Linked DNA regions of Callithrix jacchus. The protein of the gene in region 3 interacts with the protein of the main gene of each other region in a pairwise test. Links are inferred from orthologs where the notes say so. Each region holds a gene or a part of one and is shown on either strand. Other genes may lie near its edges.

Evidence for each region. The genes of interacting proteins can lie anywhere in the genome.
Region 1: the proteins of CEP63 (region 3) and ARFIP2 interact in binary tests that used the Homo sapiens proteins (3 or more experiments, as listed by UniProt). The link is inferred for Callithrix jacchus from reciprocal best matches to the Homo sapiens genes CEP63 and ARFIP2.
Region 2: the proteins of CEP63 (region 3) and CCNI interact in a two-hybrid assay, tested with the Homo sapiens proteins (2 studies listed by BioGRID and IntAct). The link is inferred for Callithrix jacchus from reciprocal best matches to the Homo sapiens genes CEP63 and CCNI.

The regions. Positions count from the first base shown.
Region 1 is NC_133511.1:72,167,111-72,171,148, reverse strand, and holds the start of ARFIP2 (arfaptin-2), read left to right. Parts: upstream 1-1,238; 5' UTR 1,239-1,339; intron 1,340-2,117; 5' UTR 2,118-2,159; coding exon 2,160-2,258; intron 2,259-2,508; coding exon 2,509-2,605; intron 2,606-3,319; coding exon 3,320-3,438; intron 3,439-3,618; coding exon 3,619-3,999; intron 4,000-4,038. Other genes in the region: TIMM10B (mitochondrial import inner membrane translocase subunit Tim10 B), read right to left, coding at 368-544, 740-883. UniProt on the Homo sapiens protein: Plays a role in constitutive metalloproteinase (MMP) secretion from the trans Golgi network. May have important functions during vesicle biogenesis at certain cargo subdomains, which could be predominantly utilized by secreted MMPs, such as MMP7 and MMP2.
Region 2 is NC_133504.1:120,960,686-120,964,638, forward strand, and holds the start of CCNI (cyclin-I), read left to right. Parts: upstream 1-1,153; 5' UTR 1,154-1,660; intron 1,661-3,953.
Region 3 is NC_133518.1:49,629,266-49,632,765, reverse strand, and holds part of CEP63 (centrosomal protein of 63 kDa), read left to right. Parts: intron 1-1,456; coding exon 1,457-1,690; intron 1,691-1,970; coding exon 1,971-2,110; intron 2,111-3,206; coding exon 3,207-3,344; intron 3,345-3,500. UniProt on the Homo sapiens protein: Required for normal spindle assembly.

The DNA.
Region 1 (4,038 bases), on a different chromosome or scaffold from region 3:
CATGACATAGTACCCATCTTAAAACTGTACACATAGAGCCTGCTTTAACCAGATGCCTACAAATGCTCAGGTTTTCCTTCTACATATAGAAGAAAATTCCTCAGCTGCCAGGGCTGAAGCCAGCGGATATGCACTAAATGACAGAACAAAGGATTGTGCCAATTAAGTCGGCAAAGCTTCCTTGCCCAGAATATAAATCAAACAGAATAAAAAGCGGGTTTATTGGCTCGAGGAAAAGGAGCAAGGACACCCAGCTTTCAGGCAACCTCGAATTCTCTCTGTATAGGATTCACCAACCCCAAGGTCCACTGGGGTCCTTCAATCAGAGAAGTCCGTCCAGGGCCTTCCCTCGTGGGGTTGGGGATGGCTAGCTGCCTGATGGAGAGACCCCAGGCTGTTCAGCAGCAACGCCTGGCACAGCCGAGGCAGCCTCGTAGTCTGCGATGCGGCGCTGTACCAGGGCAGGCATGAGCTGCACGTAAGCGGCCATGAGGCGGTGGTTGGAATGGATCAGCTTCCCAGCACAGCTGTGCAGACAGGCCTCCTAGAAGGAAGACAGGGTTTAAGAGGAGGGTAAAGGTGTCTTTCCTGTCAGGCCCGCCCCCTTCCTTCCCCATGCCCAGCCTAGGGGTGAGGGCCGTGGAAAAGGCCAGGGCCAGAGATAGGGGAAGTGGGGAGAGGAGGGAAGCAGTCTACTGCTAAACTATCTGTAGCGTAACTTCCCTACACAGTGCCCCACCTCCTCAGCGTCCAGAGCTCGGTGGTGCAAGCTGGGCACACAGCGCTGGAAGCAGAGTTCTGTCATCCGATTGTAGACCAACAGGAAGTCACGCAGCTGGGAGAAAAGGGAGACCACACTTCTACTCAAGGTCTCGCCGCCCATAGTTTCCCAGGCCCGCGCACCATAGCCCGATGTTTCCAGCCCTCAAATCCCTGGCTCCATGGGGTTCCCGCGATGTGCGCAGGAATGCGAGCTGAACTTCTGGCCCCGCAACGACTTAGTTCTCACTCACGTTTCTAAGTTGCTGTTGTTGCTGAGGCTGCTGCTCCATCACGCCACCGGCGCATGCCCTACGCCACTTCCGTTTCAGCTTCTCGGTGCCGCCCCGGAAGGAACCTCTCGCCGCTCTGGAGAACTAGCTCGAGCATCGCCCTGCCCGCGGCTGCGACGTCACCTCCGCCCTTATAATCTGCGACGTGGCCGGCTTCTTCTGCCCGGAGAGGACGTCACTTCCGCCGAGTCCCTGACCTGCTGCTAGGATCGCGACTGGAACTGGAGCCCGAGGTCCCCGCGCGGCCCGGGCCTGGCGCCCTGAGGGGAAGAGCGGCCCGGCCCGAGGTGAGAGGGACATGCTTGGGCGACGGGAAGTTGAACGCACAAACCTGTCCAGAGGGCAAGATGCCTCGAGCCCTGGGGAAGGATGAGGACACACCTGATGTCCAGGTGTATGGGGGTGGGGGCGGGGACTCACACACCTGAGAGACATAACTGACTGTGGAAGGGATCACCGCTATCCTGGGAGAGAGGCTTTTACCAGAGACTGGGAACATACATCAACTGATCTAACTAAGGCCTGGTGGGGAGGGCCCGAGGAAGAGGAGGTGCATGAGACAGAGGAGGGGGAGACCCCCTGAAGGAAGGGGGAAGAAACACTAAAGGAGTGTGAAAGGCCAAGCAATGGAGAACAAACCTGAATTGGGCGGGGGGGTGAAGACCGGAGCCCTGGAAAGGCTCAGCATAAGCACGCCTGCATGGAGATAAGTTCTAAGAGAGCGGGCTTTCCCTCTTCACTGTTGTGTTTTAATTGTTAGAAATAGTGCTTGACACATAGGAGGCACCCACTAAATGTCTGCTGAATGACTGAATGAGTATATGAATAATCACCAGAGTCCTGGTGAGACTGGGGACTTGTGAGGAGACACAGTGCTTTGGTGTGCCTATGTACACATGTGCATTTTGGAGGGGAGAAATACATACACCTGAAGAAAGGAATGGTGGCCAAACGCTGGGACACTCAAACCCTGCGACAGCCTTTGAAACCTCAGAAATGACAGGGGGGGCCTCCTTCTTCTAGAGTGCTGGCCGGTGTCCAGAACTTCTGTGTTGGGCTTTGCAGGGTGCTGGGGTGGAGAGTTTTACTCCAATACCTTCCCTAGCCATGACGGACGGGATCCTAGGGAAGGCAGCCACAATGGAGATCCCTATCCACGGGAACGGCGAAGCCAGGCAGCTTCCTGAAGATGATGGGCTGGAGCAGGTGCTTCTGTTTGATTTTTCTAATTGTTTCAATTTAGGAATCCAATTTCTAAGCCCTGGGTTCTCACCCCCGATTCCAGTAGCCTTCCCCTGACTTATCTGACTCCATTCTTTTTACATATCATTCTGATTCTGTGCAGAGTTCCCTTGTATACTGACTTTATGATGCTTGAATCCAAACTTGTTCCCACCTCCAAAATGCTTCTGCTCCACCTATGTTCCTGAAGCAATCCCTCTTCTCTGGCCTATAGGACCTCCAGCAGGTGATGGTGTCAGGACCCAACCTCAATGAAACCAGCATTGTGTCTGGTGGCTATGGGGGCTCTGGTGATGGACTCATCCCCACAGGTATGAATGTTCAGAAACAGGAAGCTTGGGTGGAGGAGGGGACAGGAATGGTTTGGGGAAGCATAGGATATGTCAAGGAAAGCTTAAATTATGTCTAGATATCTTGGGAACTTCTGCTTGTATGAACCCCATGGACTCTCCTCAGCCCAAGAGCAACTCCCAGCATTGTCCATCCACTTCCCTTTTGCTATTTGGCCCCTGAAATGGCTCATTTGTCCTTTCTCTGCCACCACCTGAGCAAAGTTAAGACCTACTTCACAGGAATGCCCTACTCTACAGCTTGAGGCTGAGTTGGAACTTTGTGAGGCTTCTCAGAATTTTATTTTAGATTCTAAAGTTTAGAGGAACAAACAGTCCTGAATCTCACACTAAGATTCCACATGGGAATGCAACCAGGTTTCTTGTTAGCATGATCCACCATCCTTTACTCCTGCTACCCCCAAAGTCGGTGTATTTTCTTCTGTTTCCTCTGCCCCTGTACACCAGCAACTCCCTGCAAACCCCTCCTCCAACCCCTAAGGAAGTCATATATATACCAGGATTTGGTTCTCACCGTGCAAGATTCGAGTTCCTCCTAGTAAGCAGTAGAATCCAGTTGTCTTTAGCATTTCCTTCAGGGAAGTCAATTTCATGTGCTGGGAGAGAAGTATGGGTGGGGCCACAGAGGTGTCATATGTCTAAGAGAGGCTGGTGTCAGAGAACTTGATCCTTTAGGGTCTGGCCGCCATCCATCTCACAGCACCACTCCTGCTGGCCCTGGAGATGAGGTGGCTCGGGGCATCGCTGGAGAGAAGTTTGACATTGTCAAGAAATGGGGCATCAACACCTATAAGGTAGAATTTAAGCACCTCTCCCTTCCCCAAAACTCCTTATGGGTACCTTTTTTCCCTTTTTCTCATGATCATAAATACCTCATCTGTGGCTGAGAGTAGGAGCCTGGGGGTGCTGGGATAGATATTGTTGTGTGGGGAGGCTATTAGGGTCTCTGACCTATTCCCCCATTTCCCAATCAGTGCACAAAGCAACTATTATCAGAACGATTTGGTCGAGGCTCACGGACTGTGGACCTGGAGCTAGAGCTACAGATTGAGTTGCTGCGTGAGACGAAGCGCAAGTATGAGAGTGTCCTGCAGCTGGGCCGGGCACTAACAGCCCACCTCTACAGCCTGCTGCAGACCCAGCATGCACTGGGTGATGCCTTTGCTGACCTCAGCCAGAAGTCCCCAGAGCTTCAGGTGCCTCAGCCAGACCAAAGAGGGTGGGGGAACTGGGCACGGGCCCTCTCAGGCAGTCATTCCTCATCCTCCCTCCCTCCTGCAGCCCACAGGGAGAACCCCTTCAGGGTGGGCCCAGCCCTACCCCCAGCAGCACTCACCTGTGGAGGCAGCCTAAGGGTTTGTACAGAGATCCAGAAGTTGGAGGGGGTGGGGGAG
Region 2 (3,953 bases), on a different chromosome or scaffold from region 3:
CTAATAGAACCCCAAATAAAATCCATTTACGTCACCACACACTCATTAAGCACCTGTTAATAAAACCTATTCTGAAATACTCTGACATGTTGGTTAAGTGGATAAAATACCCTCGGCGAGGCTGGGCGTGCCGTGGCTCATGCCTGCAATCCCAGCACTTCGAGAGACTGAGGTGGGTGGATCACGAGGTCAGGAATTCAAGAGCAGCCTGGCCAAGATGGTTGAAACCTCGTCTATACTAAAAATACAAAAATTAGCCGGGAATGGGGGCAGACGCCGGTAATCCCAGCTACTTGGGAGGCTGAGGCCGAGAACTGCTTGAACCTGGGAGTAGAAGGTCGCAGAGATCCGAGATCGCGCCACCCCACTCCAGCCTGAACAACAGTCTCAAGGGGGAAAAAAAAAATCCCTTTGGCGCATTGCCAAGCAGGTTCCTCGCCGTCAGCAGCATAATTTATGGTTTTCGCTGAGGCTTAAGTATCCGTGATGTGAGATTCTCCCTAATTTCCCGATTTCTAAAACCCTTCAGAATCTCCCTCCACCCACACGATGTGGCAGCGAGAAAAACCGTATTCTGTTTACACGTCAACGGTAAGAAGAGAACACATATTTTGCTAGGTCAACAAATCATGCAAGATCTCCACCCGAGAGATCAGTAGCCCCTTCCCAGTGAACCCTTCTAAGAGCCTGGAGATGAGTAGTAGGGCTGGACAGAACCAAGCAAGGCTGGACCAGAGGAGCCGACCGTGAGAACCCTTCCCCCAAGCGCAGCGCTCGGCCGGTTCTTTCTTCCCCGGGCGCCTGCGCAGCGCACTCTCCGGCCACCGCACGCCTCCTCAGCAGAGCCTGGAGACGTTGACGTCACCGCGCAGACTGCAAGCAACCCTTCGTTCCTTCAAGGAAAATGAGTCCACGCACCTTCGGCTTTTCTTAGCCCCCAGAAAATGTCCTCCCTCCTTCCATCCCAGTGCCAACGACTTCCCCAGCCCGTCTCCTTTTGGCGGGACTTCTCCGTACTTTCGTTGGACCCCGAAGGCGGCGGAGAGGAAGAGAAAGGGTGAAAGACCAATTCGCGTTGTTTACAAGGAGTAGGCGAGTCTAGGAATCGATCCGCGAGGGCGGAGCCGAGGAAGCCGGCACTTTTTCCTCCCTTCCCCTCCCTCCCCAGCCTTCCCCGCGAGCGGACGCGGCAGCGCCTCTGCCTCGCTTTTTCTTATTTTTTTCCCCCCTTTCCCCTTTCTTTTTTTTTTTTCCCCCTCCCCCCCTTTCACCATTTCCCCTCGGAGGCGTTTTCCCCGGGCAGGGGCAGAGCCGGTCTCACCCCCCGCCTCTCCCCGGCCCCCGCCGCCCTATGGCGAAAGGGAGCCCCCTCCCCACTCGGGCTCGAGCGGCCGCGGCCTTAGGCCGGGGGTCATCATGGAATTAATTCGCTGACGAATCCAGAGGCCGCAGCCGTGCGTCCCGCTCGAGCGCTAGCGCCCGCGTCCCCCGGCCCGCTTCTGCCTCTTCTCCCTCCTCAGTCGGCCCCGTCGTCCCGCGCGCACCGCCGCCGCGCGTCGAGGAGAATGAAGTGGTAACGGGCTGCCGGATGACCCCTCGTCACCATCGTGAGGCCTACAGCTCTGACGTGGAGGAGGAGGAGGAGGAAGAAGAGGAGAAGGTGAGGGGTGGGGGGCGGGGGCGGGGGGCTTGACGCGTCTCCGCGGCCGGCGCCGACGCGCTGGGGCCCCGCCGCTCCCCCAGCGCCACCCGAGTGGCAGCACTCGTAGCTGCGCTCTGCTTGCTGGTGACCCGCCCTCCCGCATCTCCCCAGTCGGGGGAACCTCGGGGCCACCCTCTTCGTCCTCCCGCCCCAAACCAACCCGGTACCTGCCCAGTTGAAAACGGCCTTACTGTGTTCCCTTTAAGGCCAGTTTTTGTGTTAGCGAGTAACTTTTTTTTGTGGCAGCAGCAAATTACCTACTCTATAGTGCGTGTTGGAGGCTCGGCGAGTCTGTGTTTATACACAAAGAAGGGGACACACCCCCACCTTAGGATGAACGGTCCTGCGGGAACTCCGGGAAGATGCCTAAGTTTGCAAATAGGAGTAAATGCCAAGTGAATGGGGTGAACTTCTGGTGTGGGAAATTCGGGGGAGGGCAACATTACCCAGGGCTTGGGGCGGTTGGGTGGGGGATTCCGGAGGAGGTGAGATTTGAGTTGTACCCAAAAAGCCAGATTAAATACCGGAATTTGAAGGAGAGCAAATGGGCCTCTGATGGAGCTGGGGGTTCCGTTGCAGATCGTTTTGGCAGAAGTTGAGAATTCGGTAGCACAACAGTGGGAGGTGTTTCGGGAGGTAGAATGGATTCGGACTCTGAACTAAAATATTTAGGTTTTATTCTGTCAGTGGGGAGCCACTCTGTTTTGAGCAGCAGATCATTACAATAATGATGTTAAATAACAACACTTGAGGCTTATCTGCCAGGCATTCTCGTAAGTGGCTTGCAATTCATTTAATCCTCCCAACGCTGGTAGTAGGAGCCTCATCTTACAGATGAGGAAAACTGAGACCTACAAGATTAACTTTCTCCTTAGGCAACACGGCTAAAACCCGGTAGCCAGAATTAAGTCTGACTCTACGCTGTGTGGTCTCTGACCTGAAAATGGGTTTGTTGAAATAACTGCTTCTAGCTTTTCCAGGTCGTTTGTGGCACATGAAATAGAAAGGATTGGTCAAACAGATTAAGAAATAATGGACGGAAAAGATTTAGATTGGTTAATTTGGGACCAGAGAATCTCAAAGAGATTCTGAGCCTCTGGACTAGAAATTTCTTAATACTGATGAAGTATCAAGAAATACACAATCAGCATGTGTTAGGGAAGTTCAGTAAAGTTGATCTGCAGTTACAAATAGTGAGTTTATGTGGTAATGTGACATCCTGGTAGGTTAGAATGGGTCTTACAATATGTCTTGCTCAAGATTGGAAGTGAGAGTCTTTGTTTTGTTTTGATTGTGTAACATTAAAAATGAATATTCATCTTCCTGTGTATGTGTCTTTGTCTTTAAAATGGGCTTTATGGCTGAAATGGGGGTGTAGTGAAAAAATAAAAAACTAGAAAAAAAGGGACTTACTATTACCAATTTCATGAAGTTGTGGGAAGATTACATGAGTTAATATGGCATAGCACTTTGAACAATAGGTGGCCAAGTAGTAAGCACTGCGTGCTTTACTTTTTAAGCTTTTTACAAGTGAAGCTGTTATTTATTAGGCATAATGCTAAATTCTGGAGATGGACATGAAAGAATTCATTATAATAGGAAAGGCAAGTCTTCCAATAATCACGGAGCAATTAAATGTAACAGTAGAATTATGTCCAAGTACAGATGAAGGAAGGCAGGGCACAACTGCACAAATTTAGAGTCTTACAGACTGATGTAAACTTTAGGAAGGGAGATATGAGCTAGAGGACATTTAAAGTTGAAAGAACAGTTTTTGTACATCCTTGGAGATCAGGAAAGAGCATACACTTGGAATTGCAAGTACCTTTATTGTTTCTAATGCATAAAAAAGTCAAGGAGTGAATGGTAGAACTTCAGGTGTCTTGTATGGTCACATTAATCCCTCCTTTCAGAATGGGAACTAAGATTCAGAACTCAGCACCAGTACAGGATTATTAATGGAATTGGTATGATGATGATAGTAAATACGGTAATACCTATTAGTGAAGTTGTTTATATTGTATACCCAGCACTGTGCAGCACTTTTCCTTAGAGCAGCAGGGGGCCGTGTATATATATCTGAAGTAGTTACGCTGTACAATAAGCATTACCTATTACCTCAGACATTTGATAAGCGTGGAGAAAGGAGAAGCAGCAGCAGTTGAGAAAATGGGAGGAGAAATGTGAAACTGGTTTAAACTTGTGTGTGTGTAAAAAAATGCCAACCAAAATAGTTTTATGTTATTTCCTG
Region 3 (3,500 bases):
CCCAATCTGCACATTTATTTATTCTGTACAGGATTCTATATAAGATTTCCTCTTGGAAAAAAGTTTATATTGTATTCGAAAGTTTGGAGACAGTTCCATGCTTAGCAATTGTTCTAGTGAATCTAAACCTAAATGTTGATGTTCTTTCTTCATACCATTGTGGGGATCTGGTAAAAAGAAAAATGGCTCTTGGCACTGAAATCTTGATTTGTAATTTATACAAAGAGTATTTGTCTGTCTCGTCACCTTTCTTCTACACTCTCTCTGGCTTATGGGAACTTTTTAGCATCTACTTTACTTGACTGCAATATATAGTATAGTATTTGGACCTGTATTATAAATTATAAAATCTTTAGATCTGCAACAGTTTCCCAGAGATATCTCTACTTGTATTTTAAAAATAAAACTGTGTGTTTTTCCCTTTAGAAATATTTAGAATAAGGGAAGTTTACCTCCACAGATGATTTATATTCATCTTAAGTTTGTAGATGAAGTACAAGGATGCTGGATTAAAACTTGTAAAAACTAGAAAGTTGGGAGCTGAAAACCAATATTGCTGAGATGCATAGCCTAAAACATAGTACTCAGTAGATATGTCATTGAGAGAAACCAATTTGAGATGCACTGTATTTACGTCTTTTAACTCAGGAAGTGTCCAAAAACTGATGACAGAACCAGTCTCTTCTGCCTTATAAGCCCCTTTTTCTCCAATAAACAAAAGTCCACAATTTCCCCATTTCTTTTAATTTAAAGAGCATTTTATGGTCACTTTGATTAATCTAAATATGAATGTTTGTAATGTTAAAACAGAATAATTACAACATGCTCTAAGTGGGGGGGGGCGGAATTTAAACTACATATTTAGTGATTTTAAAATTCTAATAACTGAACTTCCATCAGAAATAGAATAATGCCTTATAGCTCCTGTTTCCTATGTTTTAAATAGGAAATAACTCTAGACAGGTTGTGGTTGAATTTCTGTGTAAGTAGGTAGAATACTGTAGCATCTCTTCTGAGGAATCCCTTTACTTTATCCATTATTTTATTTCATTTATTTTTTTGAGACAGGGTCTCACTTTGTCACACAGGCTGGAGTGCAGTGGTGTGATCTTGGCTCACTGCAACTTCTGCTTCCTGGGTTTGAGTGATCCTCCTGTGTTGCCATGCTCGGGTAATTTTTGTATTTTTTTTTTTTAATAAAGACGGGGTTTCGCCATATTTCCAGGCTGGTCTCCAACTCCTGAGCTCAAGCGATTTGCCCTCCTCAGCCTCCCATAGTGTTAGGATTGCAGCCACCATGCCCAGCCTCTCAATTCTTTCTTACCCCTTCTCAGCATACGTATTTTATTGAGCCAGTGCGTTATGCTTTCATGGAAATAGTAGGTTCATTTTAGTCTTGCTTATTCATTCATTATCATTTCCCTTTTACCTATTGATTGATGGTTTGTGTTTCTAGGCTCAGCTTGCCAATCGGAAACAGAAATTAGAGTCTGTGGAACTTTCCAGCCAATCAGAAATTCAGCACTTAAGCAGTAAACTGGAGCGGGCCAATGATACTATCTGTGCCAATGAGTTGGAAATAGAGCGCCTCACCATGAGGGTCAATGACTTGGTTGGAACCAATATGACTGTTCTCCAGGAGCAGCAGCAAAAAGAAGAAAAATTGAGGGAATCTGAAAAACTATTAGAGGTGTATTTTAAAATCACTATAATTGGGGGAAGTGTGTGTATGAGTGTTTTAAGAGTGTTGTTCAGCTAGAACTAGGTTCTGCAATCTATACTTTCTTTCCTACTTTATAAGTGTTAATGTTGTAACTGTTACATAACTTAATAGTCTGACTTCCTGGCTTCCTCATGAAATAGAAAAATTGTAATAATATCTGGCTTAGCAATTTCTGAGTATTTTGCAGGTTATGCAGGAAGAAAACGGAATTGAAAGAACATTATAATCATATCTGACTTTTTTGCAGGCTCTGCAGGAAGAAAAGAGAGAATTGAGGGCAGCTCTTCAGTCTCAAGAAAATTTCATCCGTGAGGAAAGAATGCTAAAGGAGAAATTACAAGAAAAAATAAAGGCAGCTGACGCTCAACACGCTGCAGAAGCTCTAAGGTAAATTTAACCTTCAATATTACTCATCTTAGCCACTTAATGGCTAGGCATTAAGCACTAGGTTTATTTAATTTAATTTTAATTTTAATTTTATTTTATTTTGAGATAGAGTCTTCTTCTGTCACCCAGGCTGGAGTGCAGTGGTGCAATCCTGGCTCACTGCAGCCTCCACCTCCCAGATTCAAGTGATTCTCCTGCCTCAGCCTCCTGCGTAGCTGGGACTACAGGTGCACGCCACCACCCCTGGCTACTTTTTGTATTTTTAGAGATGGGGATTCACCATGTTGGCTAGGTTGGTCTTGAACTCCTGACCTCAGGTGATCCCTTCACCTCAGTCTCCCAAATGCTGGGATTACTGGCATGAGCTGCTGTGCCTGTCCAAGCACTAGTTTTAATATTGCATATTTATAATTTTATGTTTGATCATATCTGAGTTAGGTTTTTAAGGTGTTATAAAATTTTGTTTGGTTAGTTTTCTTCTGCCTCCAGTTTGGGTTCCTAACAGAGACTCAGACTCTCATGTTTAAAAAGTTAGAAACCTCTTGGTCAGTTTGCATGCTTGGTGAATCTCCAGATGTGAAGGGAATTGTCATTCATGTCTTCTGTGTCATTCCTGTCTCCTGGAGGCCTCACTTTCTTGGTGGAATAGGGAGTGATTAGTAGCTGCTTATCATTAGTAGCAGCCAGCCATTGGGCTAGCCTTCTTGCTTGATTAAAGTCTGTTGCACACTTTTATTTTTGCCAGAATTCTCCTGTAACTTTTCAATTTTTTTGGTACAGGGTTTCAAGTGTCAGTGAAGTGATTTTGCCATTTTGTCTTTTTCCCTTGAAAAATAGGCCAAATCTCAGTTAAGAAGGGAGTAAATTGCCGCTGACTTTTTAAAGAAGGAGCATCTCTGGACTCTTGCTTTCCTTTCCCAATATTGTTTTTATAAAGCAGGAGGCATTCCCAATATTGTTTTTATAAAGCAGGAACTCATTTATAAATGAGTTCCAAAGAGTTTACCAAAAATGATTGGAAAATACAAACTAGATGTGCATTGTTTTTTGTTGGCAGAGATAAAGGCCTTAACAATCATCCTATGTCTTTCCATAGGCCAGGGGAAGACTCTCCGGCAGAAAAGAAGTACACTTCTCAAGGGCAGGGGGACTTAGACAGCGTGCTGTCCCAGTTGAATTTTACCCATACTAGAGAGGAACTTCTGCAGGCAGAGGTTACTCGTCTTGAAAGCAGGTACGTGATTATACACACATTTCAAAAATTTTAAGTTATTAAAATGAATTTTTGATCATATTTATAAAGTAAATAAATATAATAGTTCTAGTGAAAAAAATAAGATTTTTTTTCTAGCATCCACAAATGGACTGTGTTCTTATTTATTTTTTTTGA